Callithrix jacchus: one gene and its partners. The protein of the gene in region 2 interacts with the protein of the main gene of each other region in a pairwise test. Links are inferred from orthologs where the notes say so. Each region holds a gene or a part of one and is shown on either strand. Other genes may lie near its edges.

Region 1 (3,994 bases), on a different chromosome or scaffold from region 2:
ACAAGTGTATCGAAGTGTATTGAAGTGTAACATGAGCTCTTCCCTGAGTCTCTAGCCTGCCAGTCCACCCTGCAAATTCTGAACTTCATGCATCACTTAACGATGGGGATATTTTCTGAGAAATGTAACAATCAATTTCATTTTGGGCACACATCACAGAGTGTTCTTACACAAAACTAGATGGTATAGCCTATTGCTCCTAGGCTACAAACTTGTACAATCTGCACTGTACTGCATTCTGTAGGCAACTGGAGCAAAATGGTCAAGTATCTGGTATCTAAACACAGAAATGCGAATTAAGAATACAGTATTATCGGCCGGGCGCGGTGGCTCACGCCTGTAATCCCAGCACTTTGGGAGGCCGAGGCACGTGGATTACGAGGTCAACAGATCAAGACCATCCTGGTAAACATGGTGAAACCCCATCTCTACTAAAAATACAAAAAATTAGCTGGGCGTGGTGGCGCGTGCCTGTAATCCCAGCTACTCAGGAGGCTGAGGCAGGAGAATTGCCTGAACCCAGGAGGCGGAGGTTGCGGTGAGCCGAGATCACGCCATTGCACTCCAGCCTGGGTAACAAGAGCAAAACTCCGTCTCAAAAAAAAAAACAAAAGAAAAAAGAATATAGTATTATCTCAGGTACCACCATCATAGATGAAGTCCATCATTAACTGAAATGTCATTATGCAGTGCATGACTGTATACAAACACACACACACACACACACACACACACACACTCCCTTATCAGTTCTATTTCTCTGGAGAAGCCTAATATAACTATGAGTTCTTAGACTTGACATAAAAGCATGATCTATAAAAGGGAAAACTTCCACAAAGTTAAAACTAGTTCTTAGACTTAATACAAAACCAAGATTCCACAAAAGGAAAACCTGATAAACAACAGGATTTTGTGTGTACATAATATATAAAATGTAATTTGAAGTGTGAAATAGTGGTGATGGCTGGATGGAATCCTGTGTCTTAATTAATTCCCTAAGGAGCTATATATAGAAAAATAGCTATATATTCTATGTCAGAGTATCACATAAAGACTGAATAAAAACCCATTAAGACACACAATCATAAACTGACAGAGCTATTTAATGTAGCTTCCTTCATCTCAAACACTAGAAGTTTTTCTAGGAGTCTTCCTTTTTCCTATTTTCATTCCAAAATGTCACAAGAAAAATTATAACCTACAGAAAGAATCTACTTCCATGACAATCAGACCTTAAGGGCACACCTCACAATTATTCATTGACTTGATGAATAATTTTACAACAGAGCTTCACACCAAAAATTCATTATTTTTAAATTCACTTAAAATTACACTTTTCAAAATATATTCAAGTTTCAGCTTCATGCATGTACTTTTAAAATGTCTTCACTTCACTCGAGAAATAAAATGGCATAGACCTAATCTCGAAAGAAAGTTAGGTTAAAAAAAAAAGAAGCCAGGTGCAGTGGCACACACCTATAATCCCAGCTCTCTAGAGGCCAAGGCAGGAGGATCACTTGAGTTGAGGAAGTGGCCAGCCTGGGCAACATAGTGAGACCCTGTCTCTACAAAAACAATTATTTTTTTAATTAGGTGAGTGTGGTGACACACACCTTTAATACTAGCTACCGGGGAGGAGCTCAGGTGAGAGGATCACTTGAGCCCAGGAGGTACAGGCTACAGTAAGCCATGACTGCTCCACTGCATTACAGCCTGGGTGACAGAGCAAGACCTTGTCTTCAAAACAAAACAAAAAAAAGAAACATCAAAACAGAAAATGTTTTCCAGGGTAATATGCACTGAAATCAAGTGTGGATACTTAAAGACACTTAAGACAAAAGTTAGCAGTTATTCCAATGACATCTTTCCTCATATAACCATTATCACCTGAAGACTTCTTGGAAACAAGTCAAAATGGGTACAGGTAGAAGAGTAAAAACTTTTCTATTAAAAGAAATATCATCACTGAATAAATTAAGTAAATCCCCTCTGCCTTATACGTAATCAATCGAGAGAGGGGAAAAAATAGATTCCACACTTAAAAGTAGATCTAGTCCTGTAATGGTATAAAAATAATTATGAAAACCAAAAAGTGACCTTTATCAACTCCACAAGTTATTTCACATATTTTCTATCTCTTTAAATCAGGAGAGAACCCATGTACTCTGAAAATACAAAGCAAAACAAGTCTTAACTCTTACAAATATTTCAATTAAAAGAAAAACCGTAACTAATGTTTTTACTAGGATGGTTTTTACTAGAGTATTTCCTCATTCTATTTTTAATCTTACCCTTATCTGTTCAGTGGAGCTGCTGCTAAGTTCATCACCGGATTCAGAATCTTGATGTATTCTTTCGGAGCCTTCTCCTGCAGAATCACAAGATTGTTCTTGGGAGAAGCTAGTTTTCTCTATGTCCAAGAACTCTGGACCAGGAAATAAGCGTGTCCTATTTTGGCTGGAAACTTTAGGAGAATGTGAGTCATTGTTAAACTTTCCGTTATTATGGGTCAGGTCCAGACTTAGGTTGAGAGTCTGACCTGGATTATAACTGGGTCCAAAATTCTGATTGGCATCACGAATAAGACCTGTTCCTTGAACAGACGATGATGGCTTTCCAAAACTTGAAAGCTCAGGCAATTTGTTCACATTTTCTGTTGATCTCTGAAGATGCAAACTCTGCATTATTTTTGTGGAATTATTTGGCAGACCAGCTACCTGCTTAACAGGTGGCATTAGAGCTTTGCGCGTGACCTCCTTCACATACTGGGCTGGCACATAAAATGCTTTGGAATTCTCATCTGGCTTGACTTGCCACCAGTCATCATTGGTCTTTTTCACCAAGATGTACCGCTCCCCTTGTTTTATCACAATCTTTCTGTCCTTTGCTTCATATTCATAATCATATTCCACCTCAATATATACTTGTCCTGGAATAATCTTCCCACTTCTGTCAGCCATTTTCACTCAATAATATTCACCTCTCAAAAAGGATGTTATGCCACATAATGGCTTTATGGCTTGTTGGATGAAGATAGCTGTTTCATTTAAATGAAGGAAGAGAATGAAGAAAAAAGTTAATGCAAACTGGATTTGGTATTTACTCACAAGCATCATAGAGTATAGGCCATTTAAAGAACATTACTTCAAATCCCAAAAAGCAAACATGTGTCTAATATCGTATGTACTGCTACATTAAAAACACTTTCATTCTAATTGTCCTCTACATTTTTCAGTCTCTTATGACCAAAACCAAAGCCAATAACTAGAATAGTAAATATACGCTAACCAGGTAGACAGAACGGTTGAGAAGAACTTTCCTTCCTTTCATGACTTCCTCAAATCTCATTCACCTTCTTAGAAAGGCTCACTAATGGCCAGGTGCAGTAGCTCACGCTGTAATCCCAGCACTTTGGGAGGCCAAGGCAGGTGGATCACAATGTCAAGAGATCGAGACCATCCTGGCCAACATGGTGAAACCCCGTCTCTATTAAAAATACAAAAATTAACTGGGCATGGTTGCGCGTGCCTGCAGTCCCAGCTACTCTGGAGGCTAAGGCAGGAAAATCGCTTGAACTCGGGAGGCGGAGATTGTGCTACTGCACTCCAGCCTGGCGACAGAGCAAGACACTGTCTCAAAAAAAAAAAAAAAAAAAAAAAAAAGAAAGGCTCATTAATAATAACCAATATGTATTTACTTTCATTTCTATACTAATTCCCAAATATTTTAGTACCTCCTAGAACATAACTTTACAAGTTAAATGATGACCGCATCCTCATGTCACTATAACATGAGCCAGTTCTCACCTATCTGCGGATGAATTGTGTTCCCCCAAAAGATAGTTCAAGTCCTAACTCCAGGACCTGGGAGTGTAACTTTATTTGGAAAGAGGGTATTTACAGATGTAATCAAGTTAAGACAAGGTCATAGTTGTTTAGGGTGGGCCCCAAAATCCAATGACTGATGCATTTATAAGGAGAGGGAGATTAAGGGC
Region 2 (2,891 bases):
GAGGCAGGAGGATCACTTGAGCTCAGAAGTTTGAGACCAGCCTGGGCAACATAGCCAGACCCCATCTCTATCAAACATTTTTGAAAAATCAGGCGAATTGGCCGGGCACAGTGGCTAACGCCTGTAATCCCAGCACTTTGGGAGGCCAAGGTGGGCGGATCACGAGATCAGGAGTTCGAAACCAGCCTGGCCAACACGGTGAAACCCCATCTCTACTAAAAATACAAAAATTAGCTGGGCCTGGTGGTGTGCGCCTGTAGTCCCAGCTACTGGGGAGGTTGAGGCAGGAGGATCTCTTGAATCCAGGAGGCGGAGGTTGCAGTGAGCCAAGATTATGCCACTGCACTCCAGCCTGGGTGACAGAGTGAGACCCCGTCTCAAAAAAAAAAGAGAAAAATCAGGCGAGTGTGATGATGTGGGCCTGTAGTCCCAGCTACTCAGGAGGCTGAGGCAGGAGGATCACTTGAGCCTGGGAGGTCAAGGTTGCAGTGAGCTATGGTTGCACCACTGCACACCAGCCTGGGGAAAGAGAGTGAGAACCTGACTTAAAACAACAGCAACAACAAAAAAGCTCACAGGGAATTGCGTTTTCCTGTCTGCCTGTCTCCATTGTTGTAGGGAAGCCCTGAAGAAAATGAAGGATGTCTATGAGAAGACACCCCAGATGGGGGACCCTGCCAGCCTGGAGCCCCAGATCACCGAAACCCTGGGCAACATTGAACGGCTGAAATTGGAAGTGCAGAAGTATGAGGTCAGAAAAGACCCTGGGGAGGGGTGGGGGCCGGCGGGCCTGGCTGAGTCACTGCAGGGTGGGGTGGGGGTTGGGGACAGGGGAGGTGCTTGGAGCGGGGAAGGGGGTTCTCCAGCTGTTTTCCATCACAGCCTTGGCGGTGCCTGAGTGATCTCAGGGATCCTCCGGGGCCAGAGTGGGCTGACCTGGGAGCTCTGTCCTGGAAACGATCTTGGCGGTCCTCTCCTCCCAGGCGTGGCTGGCAGAAGCTGAAAGTCGAGTCCTTAGCAACCGTGGAGACAGCCTGAGCCGGCATGCCCGGCCTCCTGACCCCCCCACTAGCGCCCCACCAGACAACAGCAGCAACAGTGGATCACAGGACACCAAGGAGAGGTGAGGGGTGACGCCAGAGTGGGTGTGTTCCCAGGGACCCAGGAGGGCACATCTTTATCAGCCTAATTCTCCCCAAACAGCTCTGAAGAGCCTCCCTCAGAAGAGAGCCAGGAAACCCCCATTTACACGGAGTTTGATGAAGATTTCGAGGAGGAAGCCACATCTCCCATAGGTCACTGTGTGGCCATCTACCATTTTGAAGGTGAGGACGGCCAGAGTGGGCTTGCGGGGTGTCTCTATCTAGGTTCAGTTTAAATCCGTCTAAAGCAGGGCTGGGTACTTTGGGAGGCTGAGACAGACAGATCACTTGAGGTCAAGAGTTCCAGACCAGCCTGGCGAACATGGTGAAACCCCATCTCTACTAAAAATACAGAAATTAGCCAGGCGTGGTGGCGCATGCCTCGGGAGGCTGAGGCAGGAGAATCTTAAACCTGGGAGGCGGTGGTTGCGGGGAGCCGAGATCGCGCCATTGCACTCCAGCCTGGGTGACAGAGTGAGACTTGATCTCAAAAATAAAAAATAAATAAATTTGCCTAAAGTAGATCTAAGCCTATCTCCACCCCCATGACAGGGTCCAGCGAAGGCACCATCTCCATGGCTGAGGGTGAAGACCTCAGTCTTATGGAAGAAGACAAAGGGGATGGCTGGACCCGGGTCAGACGGAAAGAGGGAGGCGAGGGCTACGTTCCTACCTCCTACCTCCGAGTCACGCTCAATTGAACCCTGCTGGAGGCGGGAAGAGGGGGGCTGTCGGCTGCTGCTTCTGGGCCACGGGGGTGCCCCAGGACCTATGCACTTTATTTCTGACCCCGTGGCTTCGGCTGAAACCTGTGTAACCTGCTGCCCCCTCCAACCCCCCCACCTGACTCCACCTGTTGCTCCAGATGGACCCGCCGTGCCTTCTTCCACCATTGTTCCACCATTGATGTACATACTCATGTTTGACATCTTTTCTTCCTGCTGCTCGGCTCCGGCTATTTTGTTTTATACAAAAATGGGAAAAAAATTAATTATATAAAGTTCCTGGAGTCGGTGCCTTATTAGAAGATTTAAATACTGGGAGTGGAAGTATCTTAACGCCACATTTCTTACAGGCCACACACACAGGGAACAAGAAAGGGCAGGTGCTCTTGGGCATGCCTTGGGTCAACCCTGCCCCTTTGGGGAAGTTGGCTTTATGTCATTGTCATTGGCTGCCTGCTTGTGACTCAGGTAGAGAGAAGGATACCAAGTTTCTTTTTCTTTTTGAGATAGTCTCACCCAGTTGCCCAGGCTGGAGTGCAGTGGCGTGATCTCGGCTCACTGCAGACTCTACCTCCCGGGTTCAAGCAGTTCTGCCTCAGCCTCCCAGGTAGCTGGGATTACAGGCACACACCATCACGCCTGGCTAATTGTTTTTGTATTTTCTCTAGAGGCAGGGTTTTCCCATTTTGGCCAGGCTGGTCTTGAACTCCTGACCTCAAGTGAGCCATCCACCTTGGCCTCCCAAAGTGCTGGGATTATGGGCGTGAGCCACTGCACCCAGCCAGGACACCAAGTTTCATCCCTTCTGAATGCACTGCAGCTTCTGAGAATGGGTGGCATTTATTGAGCACCTACTGTTTGCCAGGCATTCTCTTCCCATGGTCTCATTCCTGCCACAATTCTTAGAATGTACATGGTCTTGACCGGGCATGGTGGCTCTCGCCTGTAATCCTAGCACTTTGGGGGGCCAAGGTGGGCGGATCATGAGGTCAGGAGATCAAGACCATCCTAACATGGTGAAACC
Region 3 (3,994 bases), on a different chromosome or scaffold from region 2:
CCTCAAGTGATTCGCCCACCTTAGCCTCCCAAAGTGCTAGGATTACAGGCTTGAGCCACCGCGCCCTGTTTAATCTTTGTATTTTTTTTTTTTTTTTTGAGACGGAGTTTCGCTCTTGTTACCCAGGCTGGAGTGCAATGGCGCGATCTCGGCTCACCGCAACCTCCGCCTCCTGGGTTCAGGCAATTCTCCTGCCTCAGCCTCCTGAGTAGCTGGGATTACAGGCATGCGCCACCGTGCCCAGCTAATTTTTTGCATTTTTAGTAGACGGGGTTTCACCATGTTGGCCAGGATGGTCTTGATCTGTTGACCTCGTGATCCACCCGCCTCGGCCTCTCAAAGTGCTGGGATTACAGGCTTGAGCCACCGCGCCCGGCCCATCTTTGTATTTTTAGTAGAGACAGGGTTTCACCATGTTGGCCGGGCTGGTCTTGAACTCCTGGCCTCAAGTGATCCACCTGCCTCAGTCTCCCAAAGTGCTGGGATTACAGGTGTGAGCCACCATGCCCAGCTTGAACTGCAGTTGTGTCTGAACATAAGTCTGTGTTCTTTTCTCACTGAACTTTGGCGTTCTCTGTTGTACTTTGTCAAAAGTGAACTTTGAGCTCCTCCTTTTTGATATCCTTTTATATTACTGAGTATGTACAGTTGATTATACGGTCAGGCTGAGTTTGAAGACAAACTTTTACTTCTTCCATTTTCAAATGGAAGAAAACTTGTCATTTTCTAAACCATCTTCCCGTCTCTCCTCATCCTTTAGTAGAAGGAATAGGAGCTGAGGCTAAATAGAAGCACCAGCCTTAGAAAGTGGGTTCATGGCCAGGTGTGATGCTCACACTTGTAATTCTAGCAATTTGGGAAGCCAAAGTGGGCAATTGCTTGAGCTCAGGAGTTCAAAAGTAGCCTGAGCAATGTGGCAAAATCCTGTCTATAAAAATACAAATATTAGCTGGGTGTGGTGTTGCACACCCATAGTCCCAGCAACTTGGGGAGCTGAGCCAAGAGGATTGCTTGAACCCAGGAGGTCCGTGCTGGAGTGCAGTGTTGCAATCTTGGCTCACTGCAATCTCCACCTCCCAGATTCAAGTGATTCTTGTGCTTGCCTCCTGAGTAGCTGGGATTTCAGGCACCCACCACCACGCCCAGCTAATTTTTGTATTTTTAGTAGAGATGGGGTTTTGCCATGTTGATGGTCTCAGACTCCTGGCCTTATGTGATCTGTCAACCTAGTGCTGGGATTATAGATGTGAGCCACCATGCCCGACTTTCTTGGATATATCGACATGGAAAGGAATTAAAGGTTAACTTTAACTTAATAAACGAGGATATCCAGATGTCCAATAAGCGTATGAAGTGAGCTGAGATCGTGCCACTGTGCTCCAGCCTGGGTGACAGAGCAAGACCCTGTCTCCAAGAAAAAGAAAAAAGGAATTTAGAAAGTGGGTTTATTGGTTGGGCACGGTGGCCTAGCCTGTAATCCCAGCACTTTGGGAGGCCAAGGTGGGTGGATCACCTGAGGTTGGGAGTTCAAGACCAGCCTGACCAACATGGAGAAAATTCAAAAAATTAGCCAGGTGTTGTGGCACATGCCTGTAATCCCAGCTACTCGGGAGGCTGAGGAAGGAGAATTGCTTGAACCCAGGAGGCAGAGGTTGCAGTGAGCTGAGATCTCCATTGCACTCCAGCCTGGAGCTCAAAGCAAAACTCCATCTCAAAAAAAAAAAAACAAAAAACAAAAAACAGTGGGTTCGTTATACCTCTGAGTCTAGAGCTGAGAAGTGGGTATGTTGTTATCATTGTGAACATGCCATAACATGTGTCTAATAAGTACACATCATGAGGCATGGAACTCATTATTAGACATACCACTGGATATTGAATTTCTGCAAGGAGTTTTTAATATTTTCTTCTTCCGTTATGTAGGCTGGAAGTGGAGCCCTGCCGATAGGCCCTCTTTTGCTGAAACACACCAAGCTTTTGAAACCATGTTCCATGACTCCAGCATTTCTGAAGGTGAGAATCTATAGAATTTACTGTTGGTGACTAGTTCTGGGTAGTGATGGTGATGATAATGGTAATTACATTTCGAAAATGATTAACTTCTGTAGTTTGGGACTCTGTTTTATGATACTGAACTAATTTTTGACCTTGGTTATTGCTGTGTTGCTTTTTTGCTATTTTCAGTGCATCTTTGTGTCTCATATATTTTAAATTGAAGTTGTATTTTAATTAGAAATTTATTCATCTTCCCTTTAACATTAGTAAGTTTGGTAGCTCATTAAGCATCAATATTTAGGATGTAGGAAAGAGAAAAGGAAAAAATAAGTAAAAAAAAATTCTAACTCCCTGAACTGCATCTACAAAGCAGAACCAAGTTGTAAAAACAATATTCAGACATTCCATTTTTGGAAATAGATCTTAAGGAAATAAGAATATGAACAAAGATTTAACTGTAAGGACATTGCATCAGAATGTAGTTTATAATAGTGAGAAATTATGAACAACTTAAATATCTAGTGGACTGCAAATTATTACATTCATATAGCTGAATATTTAAAATGATATTCTTAGAGAGATATATATATCTGAAGCATGAGATTACAGGCATGAGGAGCCTCATACCTGTAATCCTAATCCCAGCACTTCGGGAGGCTGAGGTGGGTAGATCACAAGGAGTTTGAGATCATCCTGGCCAACATGGTGAAACCCCATCTCTACTAAAAATAAAAAAAATAGCTCGGCATGGTGGCAGGTGCCTGTAATCCCAGCTACTCAGGAGGCTGACACAGGAGAATCGTTTGAACCCAGGAGGGAGAGGTTGCACTGAGCTGAGATCAAGCCATTGCACTCCAACCTGGGTGACAGATTGAGACTCTGTCTCAAAAAAAAAAAAAATCAAGCCAAAAAAATGAAAAATAATAACATCAAATTTTAGCAAGCATGCAGAGTAACCAGAGCTTTCATGCAAAATAGTATAGCCATTTAGGGACAGGTTGGCAGGACCTGAAAAACGTGAATGCTCATATACCTTGTGATCCACCAGTTCTCCTGTGTTTGTGCCAGTCTGATGTGCATAGCATTGTCTACCAAAAGACACATGGCAGGATGATGCTAGCAATGTATTGGTAGTAACCCCAAGCTAGAAACAACCTAAACATCTATCAAGAGGAGAACAGGTGGATTGTGGTATATTCACACATTGGCATACTACACAGAAGTGAGAACCCCTGCCACATGCAGCAGCGTGGACAAATCTACAGACATGATACTGGGCAAAAGAAGACAGAAGAGTACATATTTTATGATTCTGTGTATGTTTTTTAGTACTCTCTACTTGTCAGTTCCTTCTCAGCTGTGTGCCTTTTCTGAAAAGAGCTCCCTTTCTCTGTTATGAAATTGTTCTTTTTATCAGTCCCCTTGTCTTCCTGACAGAAGTAGCTGAGGAGCTTGGGAGAGCTGCCTCCTCGTCATCTGTTGTTCCATACCTGCCCCGGCTACCTATACTTCCTTCCAAGACTCGGACACTGAAGAAACAGGCAGAGAACAAGGAGAACATTGAAGGGGCACAAGATGATGCCACAGAAAACTCTGCTTCCAGTTTAGCACCAGGTATGGGTCTCTAGGCAGCTAGAATCAAAATAGAAACTACCTTGTTGAAAGAAGCGTGGGATATGAGGCTTTTCTGTCCACTTTCATGCCCATCGTCCCTGAGGAAAGCATGGAGTCTCTTTCACCCACCTGTGAAGTCCTTGGCTCCACACTGCCAGTGTTAGTTGTCCTGATCTGTCCATCCATCATACAACTCTCCCTCCAGTTTCATCTCCTTAACCCTGGGTTCCCAAGTAGGCATCATCTTTACAGGTCCATCAAAAACTTTGCTGAACCTCATAGAAGGGAACAGATTGCGCAGTGGTTTTTAAAGAAAGGATGAATGTTGAGGTGATAACCAGCAGGTTATCTCCCCCCATTTGTAACCCACATCACATTTGGAACA

The links.
Region 1: the proteins of TRIP10 (region 2) and ARHGAP12 interact in binary tests that used the Homo sapiens proteins (3 or more experiments, as listed by UniProt). The two-hybrid records come from large-scale screens. The link is inferred for Callithrix jacchus from reciprocal best matches to the Homo sapiens genes TRIP10 and ARHGAP12.
Region 3: the proteins of TRIP10 (region 2) and ABL2 interact in binary tests that used the Homo sapiens proteins (3 or more experiments, as listed by UniProt). The link is inferred for Callithrix jacchus from reciprocal best matches to the Homo sapiens genes TRIP10 and ABL2.

Annotation. Positions count from the first base shown.
Region 1 is NC_133508.1:31,663,883-31,667,876, forward strand, and holds part of ARHGAP12 (rho GTPase-activating protein 12), read right to left. Parts: intron 3,038-3,994; 5' UTR 2,961-3,037; coding exon 2,292-2,960; intron 1-2,291. UniProt on the Homo sapiens protein: GTPase activator for the Rho-type GTPases by converting them to an inactive GDP-bound state.
Region 2 is NC_133523.1:6,342,415-6,345,305, forward strand, and holds the end of TRIP10 (cdc42-interacting protein 4), read left to right. Parts: intron 1-618; coding exon 619-751; intron 752-983; coding exon 984-1,123; intron 1,124-1,203; coding exon 1,204-1,325; intron 1,326-1,694; coding exon 1,695-1,843; 3' UTR 1,844-2,142; downstream 2,143-2,891. UniProt on the Homo sapiens protein: Required for translocation of GLUT4 to the plasma membrane in response to insulin signaling. Required to coordinate membrane tubulation with reorganization of the actin cytoskeleton during endocytosis.
Region 3 is NC_133519.1:24,172,070-24,176,063, forward strand, and holds part of ABL2 (tyrosine-protein kinase ABL2), read left to right. Parts: intron 1-1,923; coding exon 1,924-2,013; intron 2,014-3,432; coding exon 3,433-3,609; intron 3,610-3,994. UniProt on the Homo sapiens protein: Non-receptor tyrosine-protein kinase that plays an ABL1-overlapping role in key processes linked to cell growth and survival such as cytoskeleton remodeling in response to extracellular stimuli, cell motility and adhesion and receptor endocytosis.